5 linked regions of the Sus scrofa genome follow. The protein of the gene in region 5 binds, or shares a complex with, the protein of the main gene of each other region. Links are inferred from orthologs where the notes say so. Each region holds a gene or a part of one and is shown on either strand. Other genes may lie near its edges.

Evidence for each region.
Region 1: NUP153 (region 5) and NUP160 share a complex: the UniProt entries of both Homo sapiens proteins name them as parts of the nuclear pore complex. The link is inferred for Sus scrofa from reciprocal best matches to the Homo sapiens genes NUP153 and NUP160.
Region 2: NUP153 (region 5) and NUP205 share a complex: the UniProt entries of both Homo sapiens proteins name them as parts of the nuclear pore complex. The link is inferred for Sus scrofa from reciprocal best matches to the Homo sapiens genes NUP153 and NUP205.
Region 3: NUP153 (region 5) and NUP188 share a complex: the UniProt entries of both Homo sapiens proteins name them as parts of the nuclear pore complex. The link is inferred for Sus scrofa from reciprocal best matches to the Homo sapiens genes NUP153 and NUP188.
Region 4: NUP153 (region 5) and NUP93 share a complex: the UniProt entries of both Homo sapiens proteins name them as parts of the nuclear pore complex. The link is inferred for Sus scrofa from reciprocal best matches to the Homo sapiens genes NUP153 and NUP93.

What each region holds. Positions count from the first base shown.
Region 1 is NC_010444.4:14,837,802-14,844,201, reverse strand, and holds the start of NUP160 (nuclear pore complex protein Nup160), read right to left. Parts: upstream 4,147-6,400; coding exon 4,141-4,146; intron 3,711-4,140; coding exon 3,389-3,710; intron 3,123-3,388; coding exon 3,011-3,122; intron 1-3,010. UniProt on the Homo sapiens protein: Functions as a component of the nuclear pore complex (NPC). Involved in poly(A)+ RNA transport.
Region 2 is NC_010460.4:13,773,700-13,780,119, reverse strand, and holds the start of NUP205 (nuclear pore complex protein Nup205), read left to right. Parts: upstream 1-2,346; 5' UTR 2,347-2,588; coding exon 2,589-2,616; intron 2,617-6,420. UniProt on the Homo sapiens protein: Plays a role in the nuclear pore complex (NPC) assembly and/or maintenance. May anchor NUP62 and other nucleoporins, but not NUP153 and TPR, to the NPC.
Region 3 is NC_010443.5:269,303,353-269,309,028, forward strand, and holds part of NUP188 (nucleoporin NUP188 homolog), read left to right. Parts: intron 1-737; coding exon 738-807; intron 808-1,197; coding exon 1,198-1,265; intron 1,266-1,673; coding exon 1,674-1,869; intron 1,870-3,435; coding exon 3,436-3,513; intron 3,514-3,774; coding exon 3,775-3,860; intron 3,861-4,031; coding exon 4,032-4,177; intron 4,178-4,458; coding exon 4,459-4,640; intron 4,641-5,676. UniProt on the Homo sapiens protein: Component of the nuclear pore complex (NPC), a complex required for the trafficking across the nuclear envelope. Required for proper protein transport into the nucleus.
Region 4 is NC_010448.4:18,818,391-18,824,066, reverse strand, and holds part of NUP93 (nuclear pore complex protein Nup93), read right to left. Parts: intron 5,148-5,676; coding exon 5,021-5,147; intron 4,910-5,020; coding exon 4,837-4,909; intron 4,605-4,836; coding exon 4,560-4,604; intron 3,013-4,559; coding exon 2,896-3,012; intron 1,860-2,895; coding exon 1,741-1,859; intron 1,051-1,740; coding exon 933-1,050; intron 485-932; coding exon 401-484; intron 1-400. UniProt on the Homo sapiens protein: Plays a role in the nuclear pore complex (NPC) assembly and/or maintenance. May anchor nucleoporins, but not NUP153 and TPR, to the NPC. During renal development, regulates podocyte migration and proliferation through SMAD4 signaling.
Region 5 is NC_010449.5:13,392,194-13,397,869, reverse strand, and holds the end of NUP153 (nuclear pore complex protein Nup153), read left to right. Parts: intron 1-2,464; coding exon 2,465-2,633; intron 2,634-2,971; coding exon 2,972-3,056; 3' UTR 3,057-4,328; downstream 4,329-5,676. UniProt on the Homo sapiens protein: Component of the nuclear pore complex (NPC), a complex required for the trafficking across the nuclear envelope. Functions as a scaffolding element in the nuclear phase of the NPC essential for normal nucleocytoplasmic transport of proteins and mRNAs.

The sequences.
Region 1 (6,400 bases), on a different chromosome or scaffold from region 5:
TTCAGCTCTGATCTGACCCCTAGCCTAAGAACTTCCCTATGATGTTGGTGTGGCTATAAAAAGAAAAAGAAAAAAATTACAGCTTATACCATGCCATTTCTGTATTTAAAAACCTCCGACCTCACTCAGAGTAAAAGTCAAAAACCTTAAAATAGCTGACAAAGCCCTAATCCGGCCCTTGGCAGCCTTATTCCTCTAACATTTATTCACTCAGCTGCAGTCTTATAGCTCCTTACCATTCTCTGAAAACAACACATAAGCTCCTGTCTCAGAATTTTTGCACTTTTTGTACCTTTTTCTTGGAAAGTTCTACCTAAAATTCTCATCCTGCAGATATTCTTACTTTCTCTGCTCAAATGTCAACTTATCACTGGCTCTTGCCTGAATACCCTACATGAAACACTAAACATAATAATTCCCTTTTTCTTCCCTTGCTTCCCTGTTCTCTATTCGACTTATCCCCTGACAAACTATATTGGGTTTTTTTTTCTTTTCGTCTTTTTTAGGGCAGTTTGGGGTCTAACCAGAGCTGTAGTCACTGGCCTACACCACAGCCACATGGGATCCGAGCTGCATCTGAGACTTACACCACAGCTCATGGCAACGTCCGGATCCTTAAGCCACTGAATGAGGCCAGGGATCAAACCCACAACCTCATGGTTCCTAGTCGGATTTGTTTCTGCTGTGCCATGATGGTAACTCTTATATTGGGTTTTTTGGTTTTTGTTGTTGATTGCCTGCCCCTCCACCAGAGGAGGAACTGTCTGCTTTGTTTCCTGCTATGTCCCCAGTCCTAAACATTGACTGGAACATACCAGGCACTCGAAAATATTTCTTAAGTAAATGAGCTTTGTATCTCTAACACAGGTCTTTCTTCTAAGCCTGAAAATTTCAATGATTTCTGGACATTGTCAAACAGCTACTACACAGATACTTCAATAGTATGTCTAAAAGAATTATTATTATTATTTTTTTTTTGGTCTTTTTGTTATTTCTTGGGCCGCTCCCACTGCATATGGAGGTTCCCAGGCTAGGGGTGCAATTGGAGCTGTAGCCACCGGCCTACGCCAGAGCCACAGCAACGTGGGATCCGAGCCGCGTCTGTAACCTACACCACAGCTCACGGCAACGCCGGATCGTTAACCCACTGAGCAAGGGCAGGGACCGAACCCGCAACCTCATGGTTCCTAGTCGGATTCGTTAACCACTGTGCCACGACGGGAACTCCTAAAAGAATTATTTACATCTCTCCCAAACCCATATTCCATATGTCAGTATCTGGTTAGTCATATGGGAAACCAGGGAGTTGTCCTTGCTCCCTTTTTCCCTCACCATTCTGTACCCCATATTCAGTCCACTACCAGGTCCTAATGAAGCTACTTTCTTTTTTTTTTTTTTTTTTTTTGTCTTTTTGCTATTTCTTTGGGCCGCTCCCGCGGCATATGGAGGTTCCCAGGCTAGGGGTCGAATCGGAGCTGTAGTCCCCGGCATACACCAGAGCCACAGCAACGCAGGATCCGAGCCGCGTCTGCAACCTACACCACAGCTCACGGCAACGCTGGATCGTTAACCCACTGAGCAAGGGCAGGGACCGAACCCTCAACCTCATGGTTCCTAGTCGGATTCGTTAACCACTGCACCACGACGGGAACTCCTGAAGCTACTTTCTAAGTGTATCTTTTTTTTTTTCTTTTGGCTGCGCCCAAGGCATGTGGATGTTCCCGAGCCAGGGAATGAACCCACACCACAGCAGTGACAACTGCTGGATACTTAACCTGCTAAGCCACATGGGAACCCGGGGGCCTGTCAGGAACTCCACGTGTATCTTGAGTCCATCTAATTCTCTTTCCCTAGCCAATCCCACAACCAGCATATCTTACTTGGTTCACCATGAAAGCAAATTCTTCTTTCATACTGTACCCATCCAATCCAAGTCTACTTTCCACAAAGTAGACTGATTATTTTAAAGTGTGACTTTGACCATGTTAGTAACACTTTAAGACTCTCCAATGACTGCTCAATGTACTTAGGATAAAAATCCCAAATCCCTGAAAAGGACCTGAGGGTTCTTCTTGATCGGAGTCCTGCTTACCTCCCTAGTCTCAGCATCACTCATATCACTTTCCATTTTGCCCAATGCACTTATGCCGCACAGAGCTTCAGTCAGTTCTTCAAATTTGTCAAGTTCTTTCCACCTTGTGGACTCTCCATTTGGTGATCCCACTTGCTAAACTGCTCTCTCTCCCAACTCCATGCCTAGCTAACCTTTCCTCCTTCAGATGAAATGTGACTTACTTCAGGCCTTCCCAGACACGCCAATTACATCTGATTTTCCCATTAGCTTCTCATACTTTTCCTCTGAGGGAAGTATGAAAAACTTCATTTACATACTTATGTGGGGTCATTAGCTTAATGGCGTTTTGGGGGTCACACCTGAGGCATGTAGAAGATCCCCGGCCAGGGAAAGAATCTGTGTCACAGCAGCAACTTGGGCTGTTGCAGTGACAATGCCAGATCCTTAACCTGTCGCACCACAAGGGAACTCCAGCTTAATGTCTTTTTCCTTCTCAAAACTGCCCCATGAAAGATGTGTCCACATCTATTCTTACACTACTATATCTTGCAGGATGAAAATGGAGACTGTTTTTGTTCATCCCTGCACTCCTAGAACACCTAGCAGTGCTTGACATGTAAAAACTCAAGACTAATTTGTAGAATGAAGGAAGCTTAAAGCACTATAAAAATATAACGGCTTCATGCTTAGAACTGATCTTTGGGGCTTTACCCTCGAAGCTACATTTCTTCTTTTTAGTGCTGCCAGGGAGGGCACCTCTTCCAGAACTCTGTGCCTGCTTAATTTTCCACTGACTCAGATATCAATAGGAAACAGTCTTTCTCTTTTCCTGTCTATAACCACTTCGGAGAATAAACGACACCTTGGGAACAGTCACGAAAATTCAGCCGCCGAACAAAACGCCCTTTCGGGAGATTTGACAAACACAGCACTTACCAATGAATGAACCTGTTTCTGGTGACGGAGAACAACTTGCCACTTTCCACGTAGTAGAAGCCTCCCGCGCTCTCACTGTATTTCACAGCTCCGGCCACTGCATTTGCAGTTCCTGCAAAAGAAGAGTGGTCACCCTTGCACACGTGGTTCTCAGGGGATGACACGGACTGAGGGCGCTGAGAAAGCAGAGGGTGACAGACTGAAAATCCATGCAAAAAGGGGAAAAAAAGAGAAAGAAGTAGAACACTAATGAAGCTCTGAATCCGGGGCTGGAGGCATGTGGGCTCAGGAGGATGAACTGGAGGACAGAGATTTAGGGATCCACGGGAAGATCCCGAGGGCAGGAGCTGCATCGAGCCCTACTGGATGCTTCCGTACCAATGTCGCAAACTGCGAATTCCCGAAAGTGCCTTGGCCTTTCGCGCTCAGCTCCGCTGAGCTCTACGAAGCTCCGTTCCATGGCTCCCGCCGCCGCCATCTTCCCGCCGCCGCCGCCGCGAGGCCTGACGGGACACCAGCCCAGCCGGGCGGCTGTCGTCACTTCCGGGGGCGGAGCAAGCACAGATGCGGACAGGTGAAGAAACCCGGAAAGGTCTAGGGCCTGTCCGACCCACCGTTGTGAGGCTTCCACCGAGCTGGCCGGAGACAGGGTGGGCAAGGAGGAAGCCAGATGAGAGGAGGCAGGGGGAGCTTGCAGGATCTACCTGCAGGAACCTTTGCGTGTCCGGCGAGGAAGCCCCAAGGGGCGGTGCCATTTTCCCGGCGGCCTCAGGGAAGGGGGCGGAGCCGGGTTTGTTTCCATTTTAAAAACTCCGGCGCGGGCAGCGGCTGGGCAGAGCCTCCAGGGAGGGGCGAGGTCCTAGGAGGCCACGCAGATGGGCGCCATCTACTGGATTTCGAGCTTTTGATCGCCTCTCCTTGCTTCCCCGTGTTACTCAGTGAATCTCCGCCTGGTCTCCTTTTCTTCACCTTTCAGCGACGTGGGTTGGGGGCGGAGTGAAGGGCAGAGTGGCCTTTTGTGTTGGGTTTTTTCGAGAGACTGTATTCGTGTGTTCTTGTATAATGAAGCATAATGTGTTTAATTAAACATTGATGCAGTTACCTGCTTGAAGCCCCTAAATGCTACTCACTTGCATACGTGAAAGAAATTTCCTTTATCTTCCATTTGTGATCTGTTTGGAAGGTCTTGTGCTTTACCTGCATTTAGGGCAGAGTAGATGCTGGATTTGGAGGAAAATGCCAGTCTTCAAGGGGAAAGTTAGTCTAAATCTCATGTATCAACATGACAGATTAAAGACGACCACAAATTCTTTGACTTTTTCCCATCAGGAGGTGGGTCTTTGTCCCTTCCTCTGGAATCTGGGAGGGCTCTGTAACTGCTGTAACTCATTGAACACAGCAGAAGTGACTCTGTGCCAGATTAGCCTTTTAATTTTTTTTTTTTTTTTGGGTCTTTTGTCCTTTTTAGGGCCGTACCCACGGCACATGCAGGTTCCCAGGCAAGGGGTCCAATCGGAGCTGTAGCCGCCAGCCTATGCCACCGCCACAGCAACACCAGATCCGAGCCGCCTCTGCGACACCACAGCTCATGGGAACGCCAGATCCTCAACCCACTGAGCGAGGCCAGGGACCTAACCGGAAACCACATGGTTCCTGCTCATATTTGCTTCCGCTGCACCAGGACAGAAACTCCCAGACTAGCCTTAACAGAGTCTGTTTCTCTCTTGGAGTGCTAACTAGGAGGGAAGCCATCTAATAAATTCAGCTATCCTGGGGTTGCCATCCTGGAGGAATCATGGGGAGAGACCACATGGAAGGGCTCTCAAGTTACTTAAAGTGAGAGATGTCTGGTGAGAGAGTCAAAAGTCACTAAGTTTGGGGTAATTTGTTAGCCAGCAATAGATATCAGGAACATTCTCTTGTCTTTCCTTTACATTCATACTTTTCCTCAACAGTCTTCCACATTTCATTCTTAGATAATGGAAACAACTCCAGTTGATCTTATTTTGCTGTTGTTCTCCCTGCCTCTCCATTTTACAAATACACTCTAACTGTTCCTAAACACCACTTACATTTTGTTTCTTCTTGTTTCACAAAATACTATATGCTGGGTGGCTTAAACAGCTAACACGTACTGCACACAGTTTTGGAGCCTGGGAAGTCCAAAATCAAGAGACCAGCAGATTCAGCGTCAGGTGAGAGTCAGCTTCCTGATTTATAGACAGCCATCTCTTGTGCCGTGTCCTTAAATTGTGGGGATTTTTTTTGTTGTTGGTTTGTTTTTGCTTTTTTATGGTTGCACCTGTGGCATATGGAAGTTCCCAAGTTAGCGGTCCAATTGGAGCTGCAGCTGCTGGCCTACGCCACAGCCGCAACAGTGCCACATCCAAGCTGCATCTGCGACCTGCACCACAGCTCATGGGATAAAGTGGGTCCTTAAACCCACTGAGCAAGGTCAGGGATTGAACCTGCACTCTCATGGGTACTAGTCAGACTCTTAACCCACTGAGCCATGATGGAAACTCCCTGTAGGGTCTTTTTTTAATAGGGCACCAATCCCTTTTTCGTGAGGGCTCCACCCTCACAATTGAATCCCTTGGGATGGTAATTTATAATAAGAACATTATATTTGGTCTTTGTCCCTCTTCCTGTCACAGAGAACCTGAAACTCTTGTAATTCCCTTAGTGATAAGAGGATGACTATCCTATGTTATGTTAATGAAGTCATTTTTGGAAAGTTTCTAGGTAACCTGAGGTTGGGGGCGGGGGCAGTGATTGCCAGGGGAAACAACCACTTGATTAGAGGTTTGGAACTTTTAGCCCTACCACCCCAACCTTTGGAGATTAAGTTCAGTTAACAGTGGCCAATAATTTAATCAGTCTTGCCTCTGTAATGAAGCCTCCAAAAAGCCAGAAGGATGGGGTTGAAAGCTTCCAAGTTGATGAACCAGAATACATCTATGTGCCAGGCCCTAAACTCCATGGAATAGAAGCTCCTGCATTTGGAAACTTGCCTTACGTATCTTTTCATCTAGCTATTCATTGTATTCTTTAATTCCTTTTCTGATAAATTGGTAATCCAAAAAAATAACCTGGTTTCTTGAGTTCTGCGAGCTGCTCTAGCAAATTTACCAAACCCGAGGAGAGCATTGTGGGAACCTCTGATTTATAGCCAATCAGAAGCAAAGGTGAACACCTGGACTTGTGATTGGCATCTGAAGTGGGGGCAGTCCTGTGGGTCAGCCCTTAACCCACACAATCTGAAGTCAGAATTGAATTAAACTTGTGGAACGCCCGGTCACTATCCATGGGGAATTGAGTTAGCTACTTGTTAGTGCAGAACAAACCCACACACGGGACCTCCTCAAAGCCCCACCTTCAAATACCATC
Region 2 (6,420 bases), on a different chromosome or scaffold from region 5:
GCCTTGCCGTGAGCTGTGCTCTAGGTCACAGATGTGGCTTGGATCTGGCACTGCTATGGCTGTGGCGCAGGCTGGCCGCTGCAGCTCTGATTCAACCCCTAACCTGGGATCTTCCGAGAGGGAAGTGTGTAGGTTTAAGAGTATATGTGGTGAAGGCTCATAATGGTTGCTCTGAGAAAGAAAACGTTTGAATGCTATTTCCTGCCAGTTTCTGCTCAATATTCTTCTCACTCTCATGCCAGTCTTTGGGGAAAATCCCTCTGCCTTTTCATTCTTTCTTCCTCTTTGCTCTTTTTTGTTTGTTTGTTTAGGGCTGCACCTTTGGCATATGGAGGTTCCCAGGCTAGGGGTTGAATCCGAACTGCAGCTGCTGTCCTACACCACAGCCACAGCAATGCCAGATCTGAGCCACATCTGTGACCTACACCACAACTCACAGCAACACCAAATCCTTAACCCAGTGAGGGAGACCAGGGATCAAACCCAAATCCTCATGGATACTAGTCAGATTCTTAGACTGCTGAGCCACAATGGGAACTTCCCTCTTCACTCTTTAAAACCGCTTTCATTGTAATCTGGCATTTGTCTCTATATAACAACCACTTTCAAAAAATCACCAGTGACTTTTGTGTTTTACCTAAGGTACATTGTGTCACTTAATATTATTTGTTCAAAAGAATGACTATATGTATGCTTCCTTTTTTTTTTTTTTTTTTTTGTCTTTTGAGGGCCGCACTGGCGGCATATGGCGGTTCCCAGGCTGGGGTCTAATCGGAGCTGTTGCTGCCGGCCTACACCACAGCCATAGCAACACCAAGATCCAAGCCGCCTCTGCAACCTACATCACAGCTAACGGCAACACTGGATTCTTAACCCACTGAGCGAGGCCAGGGATTGAACCCACAACCTCATGGTTCCTAGTCGGATTCGTTGCTGCTGCGCCACGATGGGAACTCCTGCTCTTAACAACATACTTTGTGATTCTGTCTAAATTATTTAACTCCAATTTCTAACAGTGAAATGGGAACATAAACTATTTTCTCCCAATCTCAGTGGAATATCGGAAGAGTTGATAAAATGAGGTTGTAAGGTACATGGAACATCTCTGATAGGATTGTAGGATTGTTTCAGGGATTGAATGAGATAATATAATAACAACATCAACATTATAAGATAATGTAAAATTCTTAATAAATATCTGGCATATGGTAGCACATAGTAATGACTATATTTTAGTTTAAAAATAGCGAACGAGGAGATCCCATTGCTCTACAGTGGAAATGAATCCGACTAGTATCCATGAAGATGTGGGTTCTAGCCCTGGCCTTGATAAGTGGGTGGGGGATCCAGTGTTGTGGTGAGCTGTGGTATAGGTTGCAGACACGACTGCGTTGCTGTGGCTGTGGTGTAGGCCGGCAGTGGTAGCCCAAATTTGACCCCTAGCCTGGGAACTTCCATATGCCATTGGTGTGGCCCTAAAAAGAAAAGAAAAGAAAAGAAATTAGCAAACTAAAATTTAGCAAGTAAAAAAAAGAGGGCCAATTATTTAGGGGTGCTCAGGTGAACAAATATTTGGTGTTTATGAAATGATTTGTCTGGAAATTGCTTCCAAGTAATTTCTCATGTTGGAGGTGGGATAGAGGAATTGACCAGCTAGTGAAGCTGGACATTCATTATCCTTTTTTTTTTTCCCTGGACATTCATTATTCTAACTTTGCATACATTTGAAAATTTTTTTCTTTTTTCTTTTTTTGTCTTTTCTAGGGCCACAGGTGTGGCATATAGAGCTTCCCAGTCTAGAGGTCAAATAGGAGCTACAGCTGCCTGCCACAGCCACACCACAGCAGTGTGGGATCCAAGCCTCATCTGCGACCTACCACAGCTCACGGGCAACAGCGGATCCTTAACCTGCTGAACGAGGCCAGGGATTGAACCTGCAACCTCATGGTTCCTAGTCAGATTCATTAACCGCTGAGCCATGACCGGAACTCCCTACACTTGAAATTTTAATAATAAAAGGTTATGATTGTTTCACTGTATGTAACTATGTTGATGCAAATCACTTGGTATATACATATACACGAAATGCAATGAAAATCTAGTTTGTAACAAATTAAATGGCTTTTTGAAGTTTATCTATCTTTCACCCCACTCCACTCTCCAAAGTAAAGGAGTAATGCAACGATTTAATTTGACATATAGACAATGATTGGAATTTATGGCTTTCATAATATCATAAGTGGGCATCATTTCAGAAACTAATCTTTTTCTGTACCACCTAACCAACTTTAGTCCTTATAAGAAAAAAAAAACTACACTCCCCAGCATGCATTGCACGACATCGTCAACACGAGGACCTCGCGTCGCCGAACTGGTTGCCCTCGCCTTATTTGAATGGGAATAATCCTGGCGAAAATTGACGTCTGTGGCTCAGAGTAGATTTTCGAGTATTTGTAAGACAAGCTCGGTAGAGCGTGCGGTAGGAAGGAGACAGCGTGGTACCTTTATGTTCAGGCATCGCCCCAGGCAGCCTCGCCCTTTTCTGGGGCTTCCGTGCGGCAGGAGGGCTCCGTTAGTGCGCTTCCAACATGGCGACGCTGTTGGCGGTAAATTCAGGTAGGTGCGGCCGGGGCAGAAGGCAAATTGTGGGGCAAGGTGCTGATCGGTTCTTAAGGGAGAGACCCGGGCTGTGGGGTTCCTCGGAGTCCAGTCCCCCATTTGTGCACAGTGCCCGCTTCTCTCCAGCCGGGAGCCTAGATTCCCGCTCCTCCCCAGTTTGAATGGCGCGCGTCGGCTCTGCGGGTGTTAAGAATTGGGCTTTGAGGGTCGAGGCGAGGAAGCTCGGTCCACCGGAACCCGGCGTGGAATTCTCGCAGTTCAAGGCCAAGCCTGTTCTCTTCCATTACTCACCCCATTATGTGTCCGTGATCCAGGTTTCATATGTAGTTTTCCAGCAATGAGGTCAGGGGACCTGAGATATTTTTTTCAGCCCATGCCGAAACTCGTACTTTGTATTAGGCACCTGGATCGCTCATGGAGGTTGGGGGGTTATGCAGGAAGCGAGGTTCCTTGGTTATGAAGCCTGAAATTTTGAAGGTGGCCGAGGACTACCATGACTCCCAGCTCTGCAGTTGTGGCCTGTCCCTGGATGCTTCTGTACCTTTGGAACAGTAGATCCTCGGGACAGGGCAGAATCTAGAAGGTTGTAAAGAAACTCTGGAAGATTTGGATTGGGCAGTTCTCAATCTGGGGCGGAACTCCCCCTCCCTGCGGGGGGGCATTTAAAAGAGTGGGTGCATTTTGATTGTCCCGGTTCCTGGGGTGCTCTGCTGGCGCCTAGTGGGCGGGTCTAGGTTGCCAGACATGCTGCAGCGGCGGGAGCGTTCCTGAAAATCAATTTCCTGCTCTGAATGTCACTGTCTTGTTTGAGCCATGCTAAGCTTTATGGGCAGTTAAGAGCACATCGGTGAGGTAAATCCTTGTAAAGAATCTCACTCAAAGAGAGCTCTTTCTTAGGGCGCCTTTTCTTTCTGTCTCTACGCAGTTGGTTTTTTTGTTTTTTGGTTTTTTTTTGTTGTTGTTTTTTGTTTTTGTTTTTGTCTTTTTAGGGCCGCACCTGTGGCTTAGGGACGTTTCTAGGCTATGGGTCGAATAGGGTCTAAGGCTGCCGGCCAGTGCCGCAGCCACAGCGACCCTGCGTGATTGGAGCTTTGTCTGAGACCTACACCGCAGTTCAAGGAACACTGGATCCTTTAACTCACTGACAGGCCAGGGATGGAACCCACGTCCTCATGAATGCTAGTCGGATTGGTTACCAGCTGAGCCGGGATGGGAACTCCCTATGCTGTTGTTTTGTGTGTGTGTGTGTGCTGGTTTGTTTTCACACGACTGATACTCTTGAAAACGTGTCTAAATCTGACTTTTGCAAATCAAACCATTTCAGAAACACTATGATAAATTATTTTGTAATAATGAAGGATTATGTTTATTGAGCACCTCCTTTTCCCCAGGCACCATGCTAGGAGCTATCTTTTATCTCATTTAATCCCCTTTATCCACCTATGGAGTAGCTACTATTAAATACTCCATTTTACAGATTTGGAAATAGAGTGGTTAAGTAACTTCTTCAGGGTTATACAGTTAATGATTCAAAGTCAGTCTTTGATGATACTTAAACGTGTTCCTACTGAAGCACAAGCTAATTCATTTCATTACATAAAATTTCCATATACCTGAATTTAGTAATGAAGTTACTTCCTTAATCTTGCTGTCTTGCCCTCCTAACCCAGATGTAAACTTAAAACAAAGTTTTCATGTTATACGTGTGGTTATATACTTTTCTTTAGTACATGCTCATCCTAAATTAGTATCATTAAACATAAATCATTGAAGGAAAAGGAGTTGCCAGCAATTTCAAAGCATATATACATTGTATAGTGAGGCCTCCTGGCAGTGGTATTTAATTGGTCACATAGAAAGGAAACTTTTTGAGGGATTGAACTCTGGCCACAGTAGCCAGCTGAGCTGCTGAGGTGACAGCACTGGATCCTTAACCTCCTGAGCCACAAAGGAGCTCCCAGGAAGCATTTTTAAAAGCCCAGGCAGGAGTTTTTTTTTTTTTTTTTTTTAGGGCAGCATCTGCACCATATGGAGGTTCCCAGGCTAGGGGTTGAATCAGAGCTACAGCTGCCACTCTACACCACAGCCACAGCAATGTGGGATACAAGCTGGTCTGTCTGTTCCCAGGCTAGGGGTCTAATCGGAGCTGCAGCTGCTGGCCTACACCACAGCCACAACAATGCCAGATCAGAGCCTCGTCTGCGACTTACACCACGGCTCACGGCAATGCTGGATCGTTAACCCACTGAGCAAGGCCAGGGATTGAACCCGCAACCTCATGGTTCCTAGTTGGATTTGTTAACCACTGAGCCACGACGGGAACTCCCAGGACGATATTTTTAAAAAATTAAATGTCCAGGCAAGGAACCCAAATGCCGGTTGACAAATGAATGGATAGACAATGTGGTCTGTAGATACAATGGAGTGTTATTCAGCCTTAAAAAGGAAACCCTGTCCTATGCTGCAGCATGAATGAATCTTGAAGACATTCTGCTAAGTGAAATAAACCAGTAGCAAAAAGACAAATACTGGATGATTCTACTTAGATGGGATATTGAAACATATTGAAAGTAGCCACATTTTATAGAAACAAAGAATACTGGAAAAGAGGTTTGTCTACCACCTCCCTTCACATTTCACCCTAATCATCACTTGCTCAGTGACTCCTTCCCTTCCCTGACCTCCCTGGCTAGGCCAGTTTCCTATATTATAAAAAAATATATGTATATAAATGTATATATGTAAATATTTTTTGAACCTATACCATAGCTGTGACCTGAGCCAGCGAAATGATGATGCTAGGTCCTCAACCTACTGCCCCACTAGGGAGCTCTTTGTATGTGTATATATATATTTTTGTTTGCTTGTTTTTTAGGGCTGCACCCAGGCTAGGGGTCAGATTGAAGCTGCAGCTGCTGGCTTATGCCACAGCCACAGCAGTGCCAGATCTGAACCACATCTGTGACCTATGCGAAAGCCGGATCTTTAACCCACTGAACGAGGCCAGGGATCAAACCTGCATCCTCATGGATACTAGTCAGATTTTTAACCAACTGAGCCACAGTGGGAGCGCCTTTGTGCATAGTTTTGATGTGTTATTGGATGCCTCTTCATAAATGGGAAGAAGTGGAATTGTCTCTAGAAATCACTAAGCTTTGTCAAGCTAAGTATGTAAACTCCAAAGAAAGCTATTCTTGGAAGTTCCCTTGTAGCACAGTGGGCTGAGGATCCAGCTTTGCTGCAGCTGCAGCACAGGTTGCATCTGTAACATGGATTCAGTCCCTGGCCCAGGAACTTCCACATGCTGTGAGTGTAGCCAAGAAAAAAAAAAGTTATTCTTCAAAGGTTCTATAAAGTATTACTTTTACAGTTTACTTTTGTCAGCCTTTTGTCAGATTTAAAAAATACCCGTGGTAAAGCAAGTTTCACAGTTGCAAGAGTCATTTTTGATAACTTTCCTTCATACCCTGTACCACTTAACAGTTTGGACTCTACCAACAGGTCTTGCCTTTCTATTTTCCTGTCCTCATCCTGGTTAAGGTTCCATCACTTTATGAGTAGCTTACCTACCTATCAGTTTTGGGTCCTGGCACTTCATATTCTGTTTAGTCCATCAGTCACACCATCATCCAGTTTCATTTTGTCATCTACTGCTTGAAGCTTTCCCATTTACTAATAGAAAAAATTCCATCTTGGCCAGAAATCCAAGGCTCAAACTGCTCAGCAATCAAAATAGTGGCAGTAAGTGATTTTTGTAGTACTTTTTTTTTGTCTTTTATTGTAGGGCCACATCTGTGGCAT
Region 3 (5,676 bases), on a different chromosome or scaffold from region 5:
GTGCTTACCTAAGAGTTCCCACCTTTTTACATTCCCGCCTACTGCCAGGCCCCAAAACCAGTGCTCTTGGGAAGCAGGAGACTGAGATGAGCGTGGCTTTGCTCCAGCCGTTGAACTGAGTGGAACCCGCTGGTCTCTTGGCCCCTGTTTGCACGGAGCGAAGGAACATGAAAAGGCCAGACGCGAGGGCCTGCTGTTCTTTTCCGTGGGACTGTCGGAAATGTATGAGTCATGAGAGCTCTTTTTTTGTTGTTTTGTTTTTTTGCCTTTTCTTGGGCTGCTCCCATGGCATATGGAGGTTCCCAGGCTAGGGGTCTAATCGGAGCTGTAGCCACCGGCCTACGCCACAGCCACAGCAACATGGATCCGAGCCACATCTGCGACCTACACCACAGTTCACGGCAACGCCGGATCCTTAACCCACTGAGCGAGGCCAGGGACCCGACCCGCAACCTCACGGTTCCTAGTCAGATTTGTTAACCACTGAGCCACGACGGGAACTCCGAGTCGTGAGCGCTCTTGTTGGTTAACTCTGTAACATACAGTCGTGTTTCTTAAGAGGTGAACCTGATTTTATCCAGGGCACCCTTTGCGTTTGTGTACAAGCAGGTACCAAGCGCCAGGAGTTAGGCCGTGACTGATAGAACGTGGAGAAGAGGCCACCAAGGGGAGGCGGAGAGGGGAGCAAAGGGCTGGGTGAGCGAAAGCCTGGTTTCCAACATGTGTTTTCTTTTCAGACCCAAGTTTTGGGAGAATTTAACCAGCCCCCTGTTCGGGACCCTGTCTCCTCCCTCCGAAACATCCGAGGTGAGCTGCGGGGCGGGAGGGCCGGGGACTGGAAGGCCAGACTGTGAGGCTGAACTGTAGGCAGCGACACCTCTCTCATCAGTCAGAATGTTTGCTTCTCTAGCAGCTTCTTTCTCAGAGAAGGGCCTGCTTCCTGTCCCCTGGTGTCTTGCCGCGGGAAGGAAAGTAGCACGCCCTGCTCTGTGTTGGTGGCTCCGTGGTCGCCTCCACCCATTTGGAGACACTGTGGACCTGACCCTTCTGGTCTTTCGAGTCAGATGCCCACTCGCATTCCATAGGGCGGGTGCTTCCTTGCTTCCTAAGGGTGGGGTCCCTGCTCCGGTCCCTTCGGGGGAGGGGCGCCAGGGACAGGCTTCTCACGTTGCTGTTTGCTCTGCTCTCCCCTCACAGCCCAGCATCCTGGAAACCTGCGCCCTAATCATGAAGATAATTTGCTTGGAGATTTACTATGTAGTTAAGTGAGTCCTTTCCCCTTTGGAGGTTTTCATGAAAGGTGTGTGCGGGGGGCCGTGGTAGTCTACACTGAAAGTGCGTGGCTGTATGAGCCACGGCGAGGAGAGAGCTGGTTTGGAGCCATTTATGGAGGGCCACTGCTCTGTGTCCCTGGCCAGTCCATTGATGGCGTTTATTGTTCGAAAGTTATTGTGAAGCAAACTCCATGTGCTCGGGATTTTATGGAGGAGGAATCCTGGAAAAGGCCTCAGCCTAACCCATTATGTTGAGCCAGAAGTGTGAGCTGATCCGGAGCCGGCTGCCTTTAAGCCCATGTGAGGTTGCTTTCTCTGCCTCTGCAGGGTCTGGGCCCGTCGCATTCCCACCTACTTTTCAAACCTAACTGGAGGTTGTGTTTTTTCTCAACACTCTAGGGGCTCCTTAGACCAGTCATTAAAAGATACACTCAAGAAGTTTTCCAGCGAGAAACGCTTTGCCTACTGGTCGGGGTATGTCAAGTCCTTGGCGGTTCACACGGCCGACACGGAGGGCAGCAGCTGCACCTCCCTGCTGGAGTATCAGATGCTGGTCTCTGCCTGGAGGATGTTTCTCATCATCGCCGCCAGTCACGTAAGAACCTCCTGGGGCGAGGTTGCGTGTCGGCAGCCTAGCAACGGTGTGCTGGGTTGCCTGCCAGACAGAGCCCCTTGGGATAAAGAATGAATCAGGATTTTTCTCTGAGACTAAAATGTCACAGGTTCTGTGCCAAATGTGGAATATTTGAGGGCATTGGGTCCAACAAGAGACCCTTAAGGAAAGTGCAGAGAAGTCATTTTAAATCCCTTCAGACACTCATGAAAGCCTCTTGCAGCCACCTGTGCGGTCCTGGGTAGGTCTCGGCTCCCACCCTTCGCCTCCCTCTCGTGCACAGGGAGAATTGCCTTCTCATGCTCTGGGCCTGTGGACACTGGGCAAATATTTGTTAGCCAGTCAGCAGGTAGTTGTTAACAGCTGCAGCAGCACTCTCTAGAGAGAGGGGGAATTTGCATTTTGCCTTGGCTTTGTGTATGTGTGTGCACGCGCGTGCGCGCGCGTGTGTGTGCACTTATGTGCACGCGCATCATGCTGTGTGATAAGGACTTGGTGTTAACGTGTTTTTCCCTAGAGAGTCCAGATTAATATCCTGATTTCATTGATAACTTCAGCTTGATAGATGCCCTTTGTTCCAGGCACACTCTTACATCTTCTGTGACTTGTCCCTTGTGCCAGCCTGCCCACAGCCTTGGAGGCTGGCTGTGGCATAGTGGTTTTGGACCCCTGAGGCTATAGACATACCAGAGGTCTTAGCCATCTTTGGGCAATGATTGATTCGCCAGGGAATAACTTGTGTGTCACCTGCTTTTTAGGCCCTACCTGGGCAGCATTTCTTGAATTGTAGCTCTAAGAAGCCTACTGTCCTCTTTTCCCCGAAGAAACCTGTCTGGTTCCGTCTAGGACATTGATCGTTCATTCATTCATTGGATATTAATGGGATGCTTACCATGTGCCAGGCACCAGGGTGGCTGTAGTGAACCAGGCAGATGAGGTCTGTGCTCTCATGGAGAGTGGCTCATGAGAGAAGCAAATTATCAACAAACTTACCAAGACACAGAGGTTGGGATTGTGCTGGTTCCCCGTGAGGGGAACCGGGGTGATGTGGTAGTGACGCCGGAGGGGGACAGGAGGGGTCGGGAGGCCCCCTCTGGGGAGGTGATGTCCGCCCTGAGACCTGACGTGCAAGGAGCCTTCTAGGCAGAGAGCCCGTAGGGGAGGGGGTCCAGGCAGGCGGAGTCACAGGCTCCAGAAGTGGGAAGAGCTCGGCCTGTTCACAGAGGAGGGAGGCGGCCAGTAGGGCTGGAGCAGGGTGAGCACAGCGGGGTGACCAGCTCCTAGGGGACTCCCAGGCTTCACAGGGGAGTTTGTTTTCCAGAAGGGTTCCCCTGGGAAGCCCCGAGGGTCTGAGCAGAGGGAGGATGGTCAGGAGGAGGAGGAGGAGGCGAACCTGGGCTTGGTTCTGATCATGTCTAAGGGCAGCAGAGAAACAGCAGGGCCCTCGAGCCCCGTTCGAATCGGGGAGACAGTGACGAATGGCAGACAGAGGGTCCCCCTTTCCTGGCTTCCAAAGTCTGACGGACGTTTCCGCCTGGCCCTCTGCAGGCGGAGATAATGCACCTGACCGACTCTGCAGTGCGTCGCCGGCTCTTTCTGGACGTGCTCGATGGCACCAAAGCGTTAGTAAGTGTGTCTGGGAGGTTTCTCGTGCCTCCCGGGGAGAAGGCCTCCGAGGTCAGATAGCAGCTCACAGGTCTGCAGCCGCACCGCGGTCAGGTCGGGGAGGCGGAGGTCAGCTGCCGCCGTGCCAGCCCCCGGCCTCTTCCTGTGACCCACCCCTGTGAGCTTGCTGCAGGAAGGCCTGAAGCCGAAGGTGCCTGTGGATGGAGCTCAGACCTCGCCAGCTCGCGGGAAGCTGACTTACCCCATGTGCTGTCTCCTCAGCTCCTGGTGCCCGCCTCCGTGACCTGCCTCCGCCTGGGCTCCATGATGTGCACTCTGCTCCTTATCCTCCTCCGGCAGTGGAAGAGGTGAGCCCTCTGCCGGGTGGGCTGGCCTCTCATCCTCTTTACTGGGCGCGAGGAGGGCTGGCTTTCCGCCACGGGGCCTGAAGGACCCCCTGTGAGGCCCGCTGCCCCGCGGGCGTCCTTGTGGCCTTTCTGCGAGGTGTGCCCCCGCCCTCCTCTCCGTGCTGTTTCTAGAGAGTTAGGCTCTGTGGATGAAATCCTCGGACCCTTGACGGAGATCCTGGAGGGAGTGCTGCAGGCAGACCAGCAGCTCATGGAGAAGACCAAGGCCAAGGTGTTCTCAGCGTTCATCACGGTGCTGCAGATGAAGGAGATGAGAGGTGGGGGCCGGTGGGGGCCAGCGGGGAGTGGGCCGAGTGGTCTCCTTGCCCCTGCTGCCAGCCGGCGCGGGCAGAGCTCCCTCCGCTTTAGAGCCAGACATTTCGCCTGTGAGGCTTGGGTTTTCCATCGTGGAACTCTTGTCTGCTGGAAAACTCTCTCTCCTCCCCTCCCACGGGACAGGACAGCACGGCCCCTCCTAGCACGCCGCACTCCCAGCGGCCGGCCTGGGATGGACAGCTTGGTGAGCGGCGTGACCGCGCCCCTCCCTGTCTGCTTGCAGTGAGTGACATCCCCCAGTACTCCCAGCTGGTGCTGAACGTCTGCGAGACCCTCCAGGAAGAAGTAATTGCACTCTTCGACCAGACCCGCCACAGCCTGGCATCGGGCAGTGCTGCAGAGGACAAGGACAGCATGGAAACTGATGACTGCTCCCGGCCCCGGCACAAGGACCAGCGTGACGGGGTGAGGGACCGCCCTGGGAAGCTGGCTGTCCTTCCCACCTGCTTCCACAAAGATGAGTTGCTGCCCACTCTGTGCCAGGCCCTGGGGGGATTAGTGAATAAGACAGATAGGCACTGCGCTTGCGGAGGTCACAGCCTGGCGGAGGAAGCTGGTCAATCAGATTGTGCAGAGGAGCGTCGGGAGTCCATCCTGGCAAGTCTAGCAGGGGTGAAACACAGGGAAAAGGTGCAGTGTGGAGGTGCCGCCTGATCTAGGGACTCAGAGAGAAGGCGCCCTCTGGGCAGTGACCTGAAGCATTGGTAGAGCCGGGCAGGCCGAAGGCACAAGGAAGATTCAGGCAGCAAGACTAGCACGTGCTGAGCTCATGGTCGCCTGGAGCCAGCCAGGCCGAAGGGAGGCCTGAGAGCGGGGCAGGGACGACCAGCGGCCTCGTCGGCGCCTTTGACCCGGGTCCTCCGAGGACCAGGAGAGGATCTGAGGAGTTTAAGATTAGCCCTTGAGAGAGAGTGCGCTGGGTGTGGTATGTAGAACAGTGTTTTTTCAACCGGGCAGGTTAAGACCTACTAATATCTCAGTTTGGTTACAACCAGCAACTTTTTAGTAAAGTAGAATAAAACATCAAAGAAAATCTGTGTAAGCTTTGCAGGAGGTAAGGGGAGGTACAGTGTGATGAAAACACGCAGGTGTGTGTGCGCTGGAGCGCACTGTGCAGAGTGCCCGCTGCTCCGGGCGGGTGAAGGTCGAGAGAAGTGAAAAGCCCCTGGGGTGAAGAGTTGGGGCAGAGGGATCCAGGACTAGACAGAAGGACCACTCAGGCAGGGAGGAGCGCAGCAGGAGGGGAGGTCGTTTTCACTCTGGGTGGCAGCTGAATCGGGCAGTGGCAGTTTGGGTGCGGGGAGGGAGTGCGGCTGAGAGGGTCCGGTCTCCACAGGCTCCCTGAGGTGTGGCTGACCCCGAGGTGCAGGTGCCCACACGAGGTCTGCCCGCGTCTCTTCCCGCCTTCCCCCGCACCACTTCCTTCCCTTTTGCTCATCTT
Region 4 (5,676 bases), on a different chromosome or scaffold from region 5:
CTGCTTCTTGAGACAAAACAGCTCAGAGAAGGGAAGGAAGCAAGTGTATCATGACGCACGTTTCTATGCCCAATGGAACTACTCAGATAAGATCACTGACATAACCTCTAGGACAAGTGGATAATAAAGAATTAAACCAGATCTCAAAGGATCAACAAAAAAACCTATTTCTCCCAAGAACATGTTTGATCACTAAGGCAAGTATCTTTTCTGAGACAATAATCTAATGGGGATACGTTTACTTGCAGAAAAACCAGCCCAGGAAGCCTGGAATTGGACTCATCTGAGTGTGGACGGTGACTGCAGTAGGACTCTTAAAGTGACTGGCTACATTAAAACAAAAGCTTTCAGTGGAAGTGGGGAAAAAGGAATTTTTTATTTCAGGAAGAAAAGGACTCACCTCATCACTGAAATTTCTGAAGGCAGCCACTCTTTCTTCCACACTTTCCTGATTCAGAGGCACTAGCTTCAAGCGATCAATTATCTGTTTAAAACAAACCCCAGCATCCCCATAAGATACAACCATCAGAGTCATTTCATTTCCTTAAACACATAGTCAGCATCTAACATGTTCATAACGGGCTTCTTAATAGCAAATGCTACCCCCTAGTACAAAGGCTTTGATTCTTACTTGCTGACTGACTCAATTCCTATCCTTGTTTTCTGAGGTAGTTTCACAATTGAGAGATTTCAAATTACTCCGAGAAACCATTCTGCTTTTAGACTAAAGAAGAAAGGAATAGAAAAAAGAAAAAGAAAAAAAAAAGAGCAACACAGAAATCCTTTTAAAATTCCCAGGATCATACTTGTCCTTCTTCACTTAACAGGCCTATCAGTGACATTTCCTTTGTTTTAAATGAGTCCCATGAAACATTCTCATTTTTCAAGGGCATACATTAACTTGCACTTCAAACACCCCTCCTGAAACTTACATCAAAGGCTCTGTCAATATGCCCACTGTGATACTCGTCAAAAAAGGTGATCAAGTCCAACAGAAGATAGAACGTGGAGTCCACAAATTTATTTGCACTGATTCCCTGAGCCCTATACCTGAAGCACAAAAAGAGGGAAGGGAAGTATGAGTAGATGAGGAATTTCGGTGCAATCTATAACTTGAGGATAGCATGTGATTAATGTCAAAACCTCTCTAGATGAGATGAACGAGGGTGTAGAAAATAGTGTTTCCTTTGAAATGGTCAAGCATTTAATGGTGGACTTGATAGAAATCCACCTATAAATATTCGGCCTCCCTTTCAGTGAGCAGCTCCAACCCAGTTTTCTCTGGGTCAACTTCACTAGGTATATCTGTAGAGGGCACAGAAAGTGAGGCCTGTCACCACAGCCTGGGAGTTACACCAGTTGAAGTAGGATAACTCCGCTAAGTCATGGGGATAAAAGTAGATCCTGAAACACTGGCCACTACACCTCTAAGAATTCCCCCATCCATCCATCACTAGCTCCATTCCAAAATGCCTTTGGGATGGCTGCTAATGGTATGCAGATGGGTACAATGCCTAGAATTAGGTAGGATTAAAATGCTTTCATACCCTTCTTCTTGGCAAAAATGTTTACCAAGTGACAGGACCAAGTGTTGGTTATGATGTAGGGGATCAGGAACTCATTGCTGGTGCAGTGACGAGGCAGTAGAGCCACTCTGGGGAACTTAGACGTTACAGTAAAGCCGAAGATGCAGCTGGGTGGGTGCTGGGAGCCCCAGGGCCCCTGGGAGCCGGCTCTTACCGTTCTGCGATGGAGAGCGCCATGTTCTTCAGCCTCTCCTTGTTGGACTGTGGCGCACTGATCTGGGGGACGACAGGGCTGAGCAGTTTGTTCATCAGCTCCAGCACCTTGTCAGCATTCTGTTCGATTTTGGTAAATTAAGGGAGGAATCAATTAAAAAATAATCAGTAAGAGGGAAAAAACTAAATAACCAAAGCAAAAGCGGGAATTTCTGTTGTTTCTTGACTGGATGGTGATGACATGGATATATACCTCTGGGAAGGCCATCAAGAGGTACACTGGATTATAACTATATATATATATATTTTTTTTTTGGTCTTTTTGTCTTTTTGCTATTTCTTTGGGCCGCTCCCGAGGCATATGGAGGTTCCCAGGCTAGGGGTTGAATCGGAGCTGTAGCCACCGGCCTAGGCCAGAGCCACCGCAACGCAGGATCCGAGCCGCGTCTGCAACCTACACCACTGCTCATGGCAATGCCGGATCGTTAACCCACTGAGCAAGGGCAGGGACCGAACCCGCAACCTCATGGTTCCCAGTCGGATTCGCTAACCACTGCGCCACGACGGGAACTCCCTATTACTACATTTTTATACCTTTTAATCAGACCACAATCAAAACATTTTTAAATTTAAAAAATGAATTACAACTCTCTTTTTGCCCACTTTTCTCAGTTGGTAAAAGGAGAGAATGCAATCTTGAAGCCACAGAGTCATCAGTGTTCATGCATGTTCTGAGGAAGCACTGCTTACTCCAGCTCTCTCAGAACTCCTGGGCTGCTGTTTTGTTCCCTAGCACACCCCCATCACCAGCCCGTCTGCGGCTGCCCAGAGGGGGAGCACCGGGCATCTGCACCGGTAGCTTCACTACCCAAACATGATGGATGCTTACTCTGCTGCCAGTGAGACGACAGCTCAAGGCCTTCAGGATGTCCTCTCAATATGTTGCTTTTGTTTGGCCAGAAATACCTTATGGGCAGAAACAATTCTGTAAAATGGGAATTTCGCCTTGACTGGACCATGAACTGCCTGAGCACTAGGAGAAAATGCCTTAGCAGGGAGAGGGGTACAACAACAGCACCTCCGAAATGTTTGTGCATTTAATGCCCAAAGGCTGACAGATCTATAAAGTGCAGAAGAAGGAAAGGGCACATTTTACCTTGGCAAGGTCATAAAGCTTTGCTGCTTCTTCAAACAGTCCTTTGTTTTCTGCCACAGAAGCAACTTTGTTGATAATAGGCTTTGTGTCACTAGTAAACTTATCTATGACTCCAGGCTGACAAAACAAATTATGGAGGAGAGGAAGAGAGAAACGGGGGAATAGAACTGTTATTTTAAACACAGAGAAGCAACTGGGATCCGAAAACTTCTTTAACTGAAAATGCTTGCCCTGGGCAATGCATGTATTTCATCAGCTAGACTCTGGCTTTCTTGAAAATATGAAAAGGACCAAAGAAACTATACACGAAGAGGCAGACTCACAGGCGGTACAGAGGAGTCAGCAATAAGACTCTGGGTTTTCTGATTTTCTAAAAAATGATCCAGAGTAGGAGAAATTATCAGTGATTTCAACTTTGCTGATGAGTAGGGGGAAAAAATTAGGAGGCTTAGAGAAAATATCTGAAAGATTTTGAATTTGCTAAGACAGATGGCAAAAGAAACCCAGTCCTGAAAAAACATATGGCAAGTGGTGTCAGGATATTTAAAAAAAAAAAAAATCACTCAGCTGCAACCAAATGGTCAAGAGACTATGGGAGAGGCCTTAGGAACCACAGAGAGAGGGGAGATAGCGTGACGTCTGATTGGCCGTCTGATTCTCCATCTGAGCTGGACCAATCAGGGTGACCTGCTCCCCCGACGATGGCAGCTCGAGAGATCAGTGAAGAGGTTCTGGGGTTAAAAAGGACTGGGTTCAAATTCCAGCTCCCTTTCTTACTAGCTATACGACCTTGAGTATATAATTAACCTCTCTTGTCTCTACTTCCTCCCTTGGAAAAAAGATAAGGGTTCCCACTGTCTTAGGTTACTGTGGCAATTAGGTGAGATAATTCATGTTAAGCATTCAACACAGGCAGCTGTCACTACTCAATAAGCATGGCCACTGTCACCAGCACTGCCAACTGGTCTTCTACACTGGACAGTGTACGTGGTGTGAGCTCATCTTGCAATTGCTGGCTGTAAGTCACACCTTTGGCATGCATAAGTTCCTGGGCCAGGAATCAAATGTGAGCCACAGCAGTGACAAGAGAGAGGCAGGTGACCCCACAAGGAGCATGACTGAGTGGGGTCAGGACTGGTCTGTGACACCAGGGCCTCTGCCCCTTCTGCTACATTGCCCAATAGGCATGATGGGTCTCAGGGAATCTAAGGCCCACAGCAGCAGCTGCATCTCTGGGGTAGTGTAGGGTTCTGAGTCCTCGGAAACTACCTTTTGAGACAGGTCAAGTGGATTTCTAACTTTCCCATCTGGGGAGAGTAAGTGCCATAATCTATTCCTTTCTTGCATATATTCTAAATTAAGAATGGCAGAACGTAGCCTTCTCAGGTAAAAAATGGCAGGCATGAACAGATTCAGTATTCTGAACGTAATTTAAAACGCTCTCGAATCACAAATTTACACATTTTAAGGAGAAACATCAATGTGCGCAAAATCAAGGCCATCGTTTGGGGCCCGTAATTTTCATTCTTTGTTTTTAAAAAGAGGCAACTTCATTCCAATTTGCATCTTCAGTACCTTGACTTCCAAAATCTAACTATATTCCTTTGACAATTATAAACCCCCAATTGTAAATTCACACATCTCTAGCGGTGCATTTTACTCACCTTTCTACTTCCATCATTCTCTAGTTTCCCAAGAATCATATCAAACTGCAGAGACAAAAAAAGTTTACTCAATTTACTGAATGAGGATATACACATAATCCACAATTCTTTGGAGACAAGAACAATGAGACTGAATCAATATTTTCACAGTCAGAAAGCAAAGAAAACTCCAAAGCCCTCCTGGCCACATCCACCAAACTCAGACCTCATCAGGTATCACATTAGCTTGAGAACATGTATACTGGAAATCAGAGGGTGGAAAACGAAATAGACATACCTCTCGACTTTCTACCACCAGCTCGCTCACACAGCGCAGAAACATATTTTCTCCTTGACTATCCTTCTCATCCCTGGAATGGACACAAACAACCTGGTTTCAGGTGTGGCCTCAAGGACTCTGTCATTCCCACAATGGCAGAAATCAAAACCAGCTGAAGTAAATGTTCAAAAGCCAGTCTAACCTGAGGAAGTAAAAGTACTGGAGGGCCTCCCTCGGGTCCGTGGACTCAAACTTGCGGGTGTAGAGCATGAGCAGCCTCACAAAGTTCAGCCTCCGCATGCAGGGAGGGTCACCGGGCTCATGGCTGACTGCACCAAGGGGGACAGAATGGGTCACAACCACACTGCCTTCTGACCCTCACCCCCCCCCCCCGCCAGCCCACCCCACCAGGAACTATAGGAACTGACTCCAAAGACCCAGCAGCACCTGCTCCTGCAGCCCAGCCAGTGTTTGGAAAGGAGAGCTTTGGCCAAGTCCCTTCACTACCCTGTCCTCAATTTCATCCCAAGTACAGAGTGGAGGAAACAGCATGGTAGTAAACTACCAGCAGGCTAGGCTCTGAATGAAAAGAGGGAGACAACCGACCAATAAGACATGTGCTCTGGGGTGATGCTGCCGTGCTAAGGAAGCGGCAGCCCCTCCCGAATATTTATCTTCTCTCCTCGCCTGACTCCCACCCAGGCAGGTACGAGCAGAAGATGGCTGGTGGGGCTTCCAGGGTCCCCAGTCAGAGCCCTAATGGGAACCAGAATCACGACTCCAGGGGCTGCTTCTCCTGCACTACCCTCTAGGCAACCTGACTGGCCACTATAAACTAGCACTCTGCACAGCATTTAA
Region 5 (5,676 bases):
TGTTTCTTATGAAATATTTTCCTCAAAACTAGTTTTTAGGGTTTTTTATTTTATTTATTTTTTATTGGTTTACTTTTTTTTTGTCTTTTTACCTTTTTCTAGGGCTGCTCCCATGGCATATGGAGGTTCCCAGGCTAGGGGTCGAATCGGAGCTGTAGCCACTGGCCTACACCAGAGCCACAGCAACGCGGGATGTGAGCCGCGTCTGAGACCTACACCACAGCTCATGGCAACGCCGGATCCTTAACCCACTGAGCAAGGCCAGGGATCAAACCCGCAACCTCATGGTTCCTAGTCAGATTCGTTAACCATTGCACCACGTTGGGAACTCCAGCATTTAGGGTTTTTTAGATTGTAGTAAGAATGTTTAACATGAGATCTGTCTACGCTTTCACCAGATTAAGTGTTCAGTGCAGTACTGTTAACTCTAGGCACAGTGCTGGGCAGCAGAGCTCTGGGAGGTGGGCATCTTACATAACTGAGACTTGGTACCTATTAAATAGCAACTCCTCATTTCTTCCTACCCCCACCCCCTCCCTTGCAGCAGCCAGTCTTAGTTTGTGGGTTTGGTTACTTTCAATACGTCATATGAGTGAAATGATGCAGTATTGTTCTTCTGTGACTGGCTTGTTTGACTTAGCATAATGTATGTCCTCCAGTTTTCCCATATTACAAGATGAATAATATTCCATTTTGTGTATGTATACCATTTTCTTTATCTGTGCTTCCGTCTGTGGACATTGAGGTTGTTTTTACGTCTTGACCATTGTGGATAATGCTGCAGTGTATGAGAGAGTCCAAGTAGCTAAATACCTAGAATGGGATTGCCAGGTCATGTGGTAGTCCTGTCTTTAACTTTTTGTGGAACCTCCATCCTGTTTTCTGTGGTGGTTGCACCACTTTACATTCCTACCAACTTCCCAAGCGATCCCTTTTCTCCACATCCTTGCCAACACTTATTCTCGGTTTTTTAATAATAGGCTTTCTGAGAGGTGTGAGGTAATTAACATCTCTTGATGGTCTGGATTAGCGTTTCTCCCTTAAGATTAGTGAGGTTGAGCATCTTTTCATGTACCTGTATGCCGTCTTTGGAGAAATGTCAAGTTCTTTGCCCATTTTTTAATTGGATTATTTGGTGGGTTGAGGGATTCTTTTGTTTGCTTTTATGGTCTTGAGTTGTAGGAATTCCTTATATTTTTGGATATCAGCCCTTTATCAGATAAATGGCTTACAAATATTTTCTACCACTCTATGTGTAATTTTGTTGAGTATAGGACACCGAAATACCATTTCATAATTCTTTGAACATGGATAAGGCTTACAGATCTTGAATTTCATTGTAGGTTTATCTAACTGGCCTATTTGCTTGCAAAGAACTGGTTGATAGTGTCTTTAGGTCTTTCCTTTTAGACTCTTAGATTCCCCAGAGGAGATTCTTCCAGTCCTGCCTGAGGGTTTATATACTCCTGATTGCCAGTATGCGTTGTTCCAACCTACTCTCAATCTTGGTATTTTCAGTATGGTATCCTTGCTTTTATGTGTGGTGAACCAGTCCAGAGGCTGAACTTCTGTCTTCTGCTAAGTAGGGGAGAATTAGCATCCCATTTGGTTTTGGGGAGGATTGGTCTGGGTTATGCTTCTTTTTTTTTGTTGTTGTTGTTGTTGTTGTTGCTATTTCTTGGGCCGCTCCCGCGGCATATGGAGGTTCCCAGGCTAGGGGTCGAATTGGAGCTGCAGTCACCGGCCTACGCCAGAGCCACAGCAACGCTGGATCCGAGCTGCGTCTGCAACCTACACCACAGCTCACGGCAACGCCGGATCGTTAACCCACTGAGCAAGGGCAGGGACCGAACCCGCAACCTCATGGTTCCTAGTTGGATTTGTTAACCACTGCGCCACGACGGGAACTCCCTGGGTTATGCTTCTTAAACAGATATTCTGCCATCCTTCCTTTTTTTTTTTTTCCTTTTAGCTGTTCTTTTGTTCTCACTTCCAGGCGTAGCTGGAACCTAAACCTTTTGGGTACCCTTAGTGTACATGGAATGACTTGTGTGCTTCCCCTTGCTGCTAGGTTAGTGTTTGGCCCCAGCCAGCCTTTCAGCTTTTTTTTTTTTTTTTTTTTTTTTTTGCTGTTGGCCCCTCTCTCCCTATCTTTGTAAAAATCCCTTTACTGTTATTTTAACATAATTTTTGAAGAAGCTAGAGCTAAATGTGTTTGTTGATTCTGCTGTCTTTAACCAAAAGTCGGCTCTGCCCTTTTCGTCTGGGTGTTGGTTAAGTTGGGTGACTTGTTGCGGAGGGTGTCAGGTATGTACTGTGTCAGTGGAGGAAAGTCTTCATTTTCTTCAAGCGACCATAAGAGAGTTTAACCCTTTGCATGTTTTTGTACATGAAGGGTCAGAATCATTACTAGAAAAACCATCGTTTTTACCTTAATAAAGTTTTTCTGCTTCAACTGTTGTAGGTTCCGTTTTCCAGTTCGGTAGCAGCACTACAAATTTCAACTTCACAAACAACAATCCATCAGGAGTGTTCACATTTGGTGCAAATCCCAGCATACCTGCAGCCTCAGCCCAGCCCTCGGGCTCAGGGGGCTTTCCATTTAACCAGTCTCCAGGGGCGTTTACTGTGGGGTAAGAGAACTTTCTGTGGAAATGGAGAATTTAACAGAGTGCCTATGTGTGCATGAAGGTGTGTGTGTTTGTGTGTTGTTTTTAGCGTCATCATGGTGCCGGATAGTTGAGGTAAAATCAGGTTTGTTCTTCATCAGTTTACCACATTACAATGTGAGAGGATCATAGCCTTAACAAAACAAAACAATCTGTGTGTGTGTGTTGGTGTTGGAGGGTGTGAGGCGTAACTAAATGGGTTTGCTTTGATGATGCCCCCCCATCACTGGTCACATTAATTTTATGATTGGAGAATTTTATCTGAGCATCATGTCACATTATAAAGTTTTTATTTTTCACAGGTCAAATGGGAAAAACATATTCTCTTCTTCGGGAACTTCACTCTCTGGTCGCAAGATAAAGACTGCTGTAAGACGCAGGAAATAAAGGTCACGGTGATTGTACACCATTTTAACAACAGCTGGTGCCCTGCTTTCAGATACTGGATTGTACTATGTGCTGGGTCATCTGAAGTTAGATCTGCCTAAGGACTTCTTTAATTTTGGCATTTTCCTCCGTTTTTCTTTATAGAAGCCCCAACCTCACCTCTCCTGCCCCCCCTTTTTAAAAAATAATAGCTAAGACTGGTGACTGACTCTTCAGCAAAAATATTTTATGATCCAGCAAATTATTCGCTGATTTGGCTTAGGCTGGCCGAACCCAGGAATTGAGTCTGCTCGGAGAATGGCTTTGTATAGAACCTCTTCATCTGCACCACCACGTGCGTTGATACGCGTTTATACAACGCATTGAAATTGTAATTATATCTGAGGAATTCTGTATAGATTAGAGGATTTTGAAATGAATGATTTCTCTGATGAGTTTGTGCTGGTGTATGTGTGAAATGAGTGAGTTGGGTGTATCGTGCACTAAAATTTCTGATAGAGGAATCCTGATTAAAGAATGGTCCATGCTAAGGACTTGTTAGATCTAGTTCGTTCTCCATTTAATAATTATATGCTATTTCTATATTGTCATTCTTCCGACTATCACCTGTCTTGCCTTTTTCATTATTTTATTATGAAACTTGTGTAAATACAATTTTGTTTCTGTACTTTTTTGGCATAACATAAATCTGTGAACTTGAAATTTTAATTTTGTGTTAGAAAATTTTTTTGTTGTTTGTTTAGTCTTGTCTCAGATTTTATTATGTAAATCCCATTATTCAAAGTTGCCTAAATCCATTTGGAAATCTTTAAAAAAAAATTGGGGATTCTTAAAGTGAATTTATTGGCTTTTCTGATCCAGTTTTGTTTGGACCAAAAACCAGTATTGTACAAAGTATTAAGCATATATTTTTATATTTACTGAAATGGACTGTGGTGACTTTGGATAATAAGGAAAAGTTTAATATTAAAGCCATGTTTATTACAGTATAATTAACATGTTAAACCATGGGATAAATGCCATCAATAAAAAATTATGAAATACTTTTTGTTCTAGTGTTAACTCATAGTGAAGGTCAAGTGTTAGTAGAAGAGAACCTTTTTATAAAGGTTAACAGTGGTCAGAAGAGAGATTCCAAAGAACACGTTGACGTGATTTGGAGGGAAAGTGTCTCAAGGTACCTTGCTTTTTGTCTGGTGCTAGGAACCACACCTACTTTGCGCACAAATTGACAAACCTTTTTAAAAGTTGAAAATAAACACAAGCAACTGTTTCTGTTTGTTCTGTTTGTACTTGTATCTTCATTGACAGATGACTCGACAGTGTTTATTGATCACATTCTTGGAGAACTTGCCCAAAGCAGCCCACAAAAACTTTGGTGGTCGTTTTGTGGAGTTTCTTTTGGGTTCTTTTACCAAAAATTTTTTTGAACCAGATATCTTTTCTGTGGCCTTTGCAAGAACTCTTGGGATAGCATTTGATAATTTTATTTTTCAATTTGAATGTATTCTGTGGTGACTTTTATTTTATTGAACTTTTGGTCGAGTCTAGTCAGCAAATGCTGGTTTCAGAGTAGAGATTTTGTGTTTGTGTTTATAATTCTCACCTCATTAAATAATACACATTTGATGTGGACAAATGTGCATTATTTGGGGGCAAAAGATGATGACAAATGCTAGAAGCAAGCCGGAAACCTGTGCGGTGTTGATGCTGAGAAAATGCCTAACTGAATTGTAGCAGGTTTGTTCATTTTTACCCATCCTTTAGGCTCACAGGGATGACTCTCTACTCTGGGGAAGATTTTTTTTCTGGGAAGATTTCATTTCAGATGTGCTAGAAATACTGCATTTTATTTAGTAATTTTTTTTTCCCCACCTTTTTCGGTTGCACCTGCTTCATGTGAAAGTTCCTGGGACAGGGATCACATCTGAGTCCGAGCTGCAGCCTACACCACAGCTTCAGCAACTCTGGATCCTTAATTCACTGCGCTTGGTCAGAGATCGAACCTTCATGCCTCTGCAGAGACCAAGCTGGATGATTAACCCACTGTACCACAGCAGGAACTGCCAGTAATTTGTTTCTAAGCAGGTGACTGAAAACCATACTCAGGGTGGCTTGTCTTAAAAATGAAATCTCTGGCCCCCAGAACGGAGATCTGTAGGACTAGACTTGTATTTGGGACTTGGGACCTGTTTTTTTCCATCTGACTGCTTTAACTCTCAGCTGTAGACTACACATTCATTGTGGCAATTCCACCTGCAAACCTCTCCCTACTTCAGCTCAGCAGCAGCATCTCTTTACTGGACTGGCTCAGGCTGCAGACCCCCTAGCAGCCTTGGGTTTTATGCTCCATACACAAGTGAAAATCAAGTGCTGTTTGTGGAAGAAGGAGAAACATTTTGAAAAGAAGACAGTAAAAGCCCACTTCTCATGCTGGACCAATGAGGAATTGTTTTTAACTGACTACTCTCCGAAGGAAAGAAAGCCATATGCAAGAAGGTTGAATAATCAGGTACATTTATATAATTTGGTTGACAAGTGGGTCAGTCCTCACTAAACGTACCTCAGTGTTTGATGGGGTTTGTCAGATGTGTATTCTGAGTCTTCATCAAAAACTCGT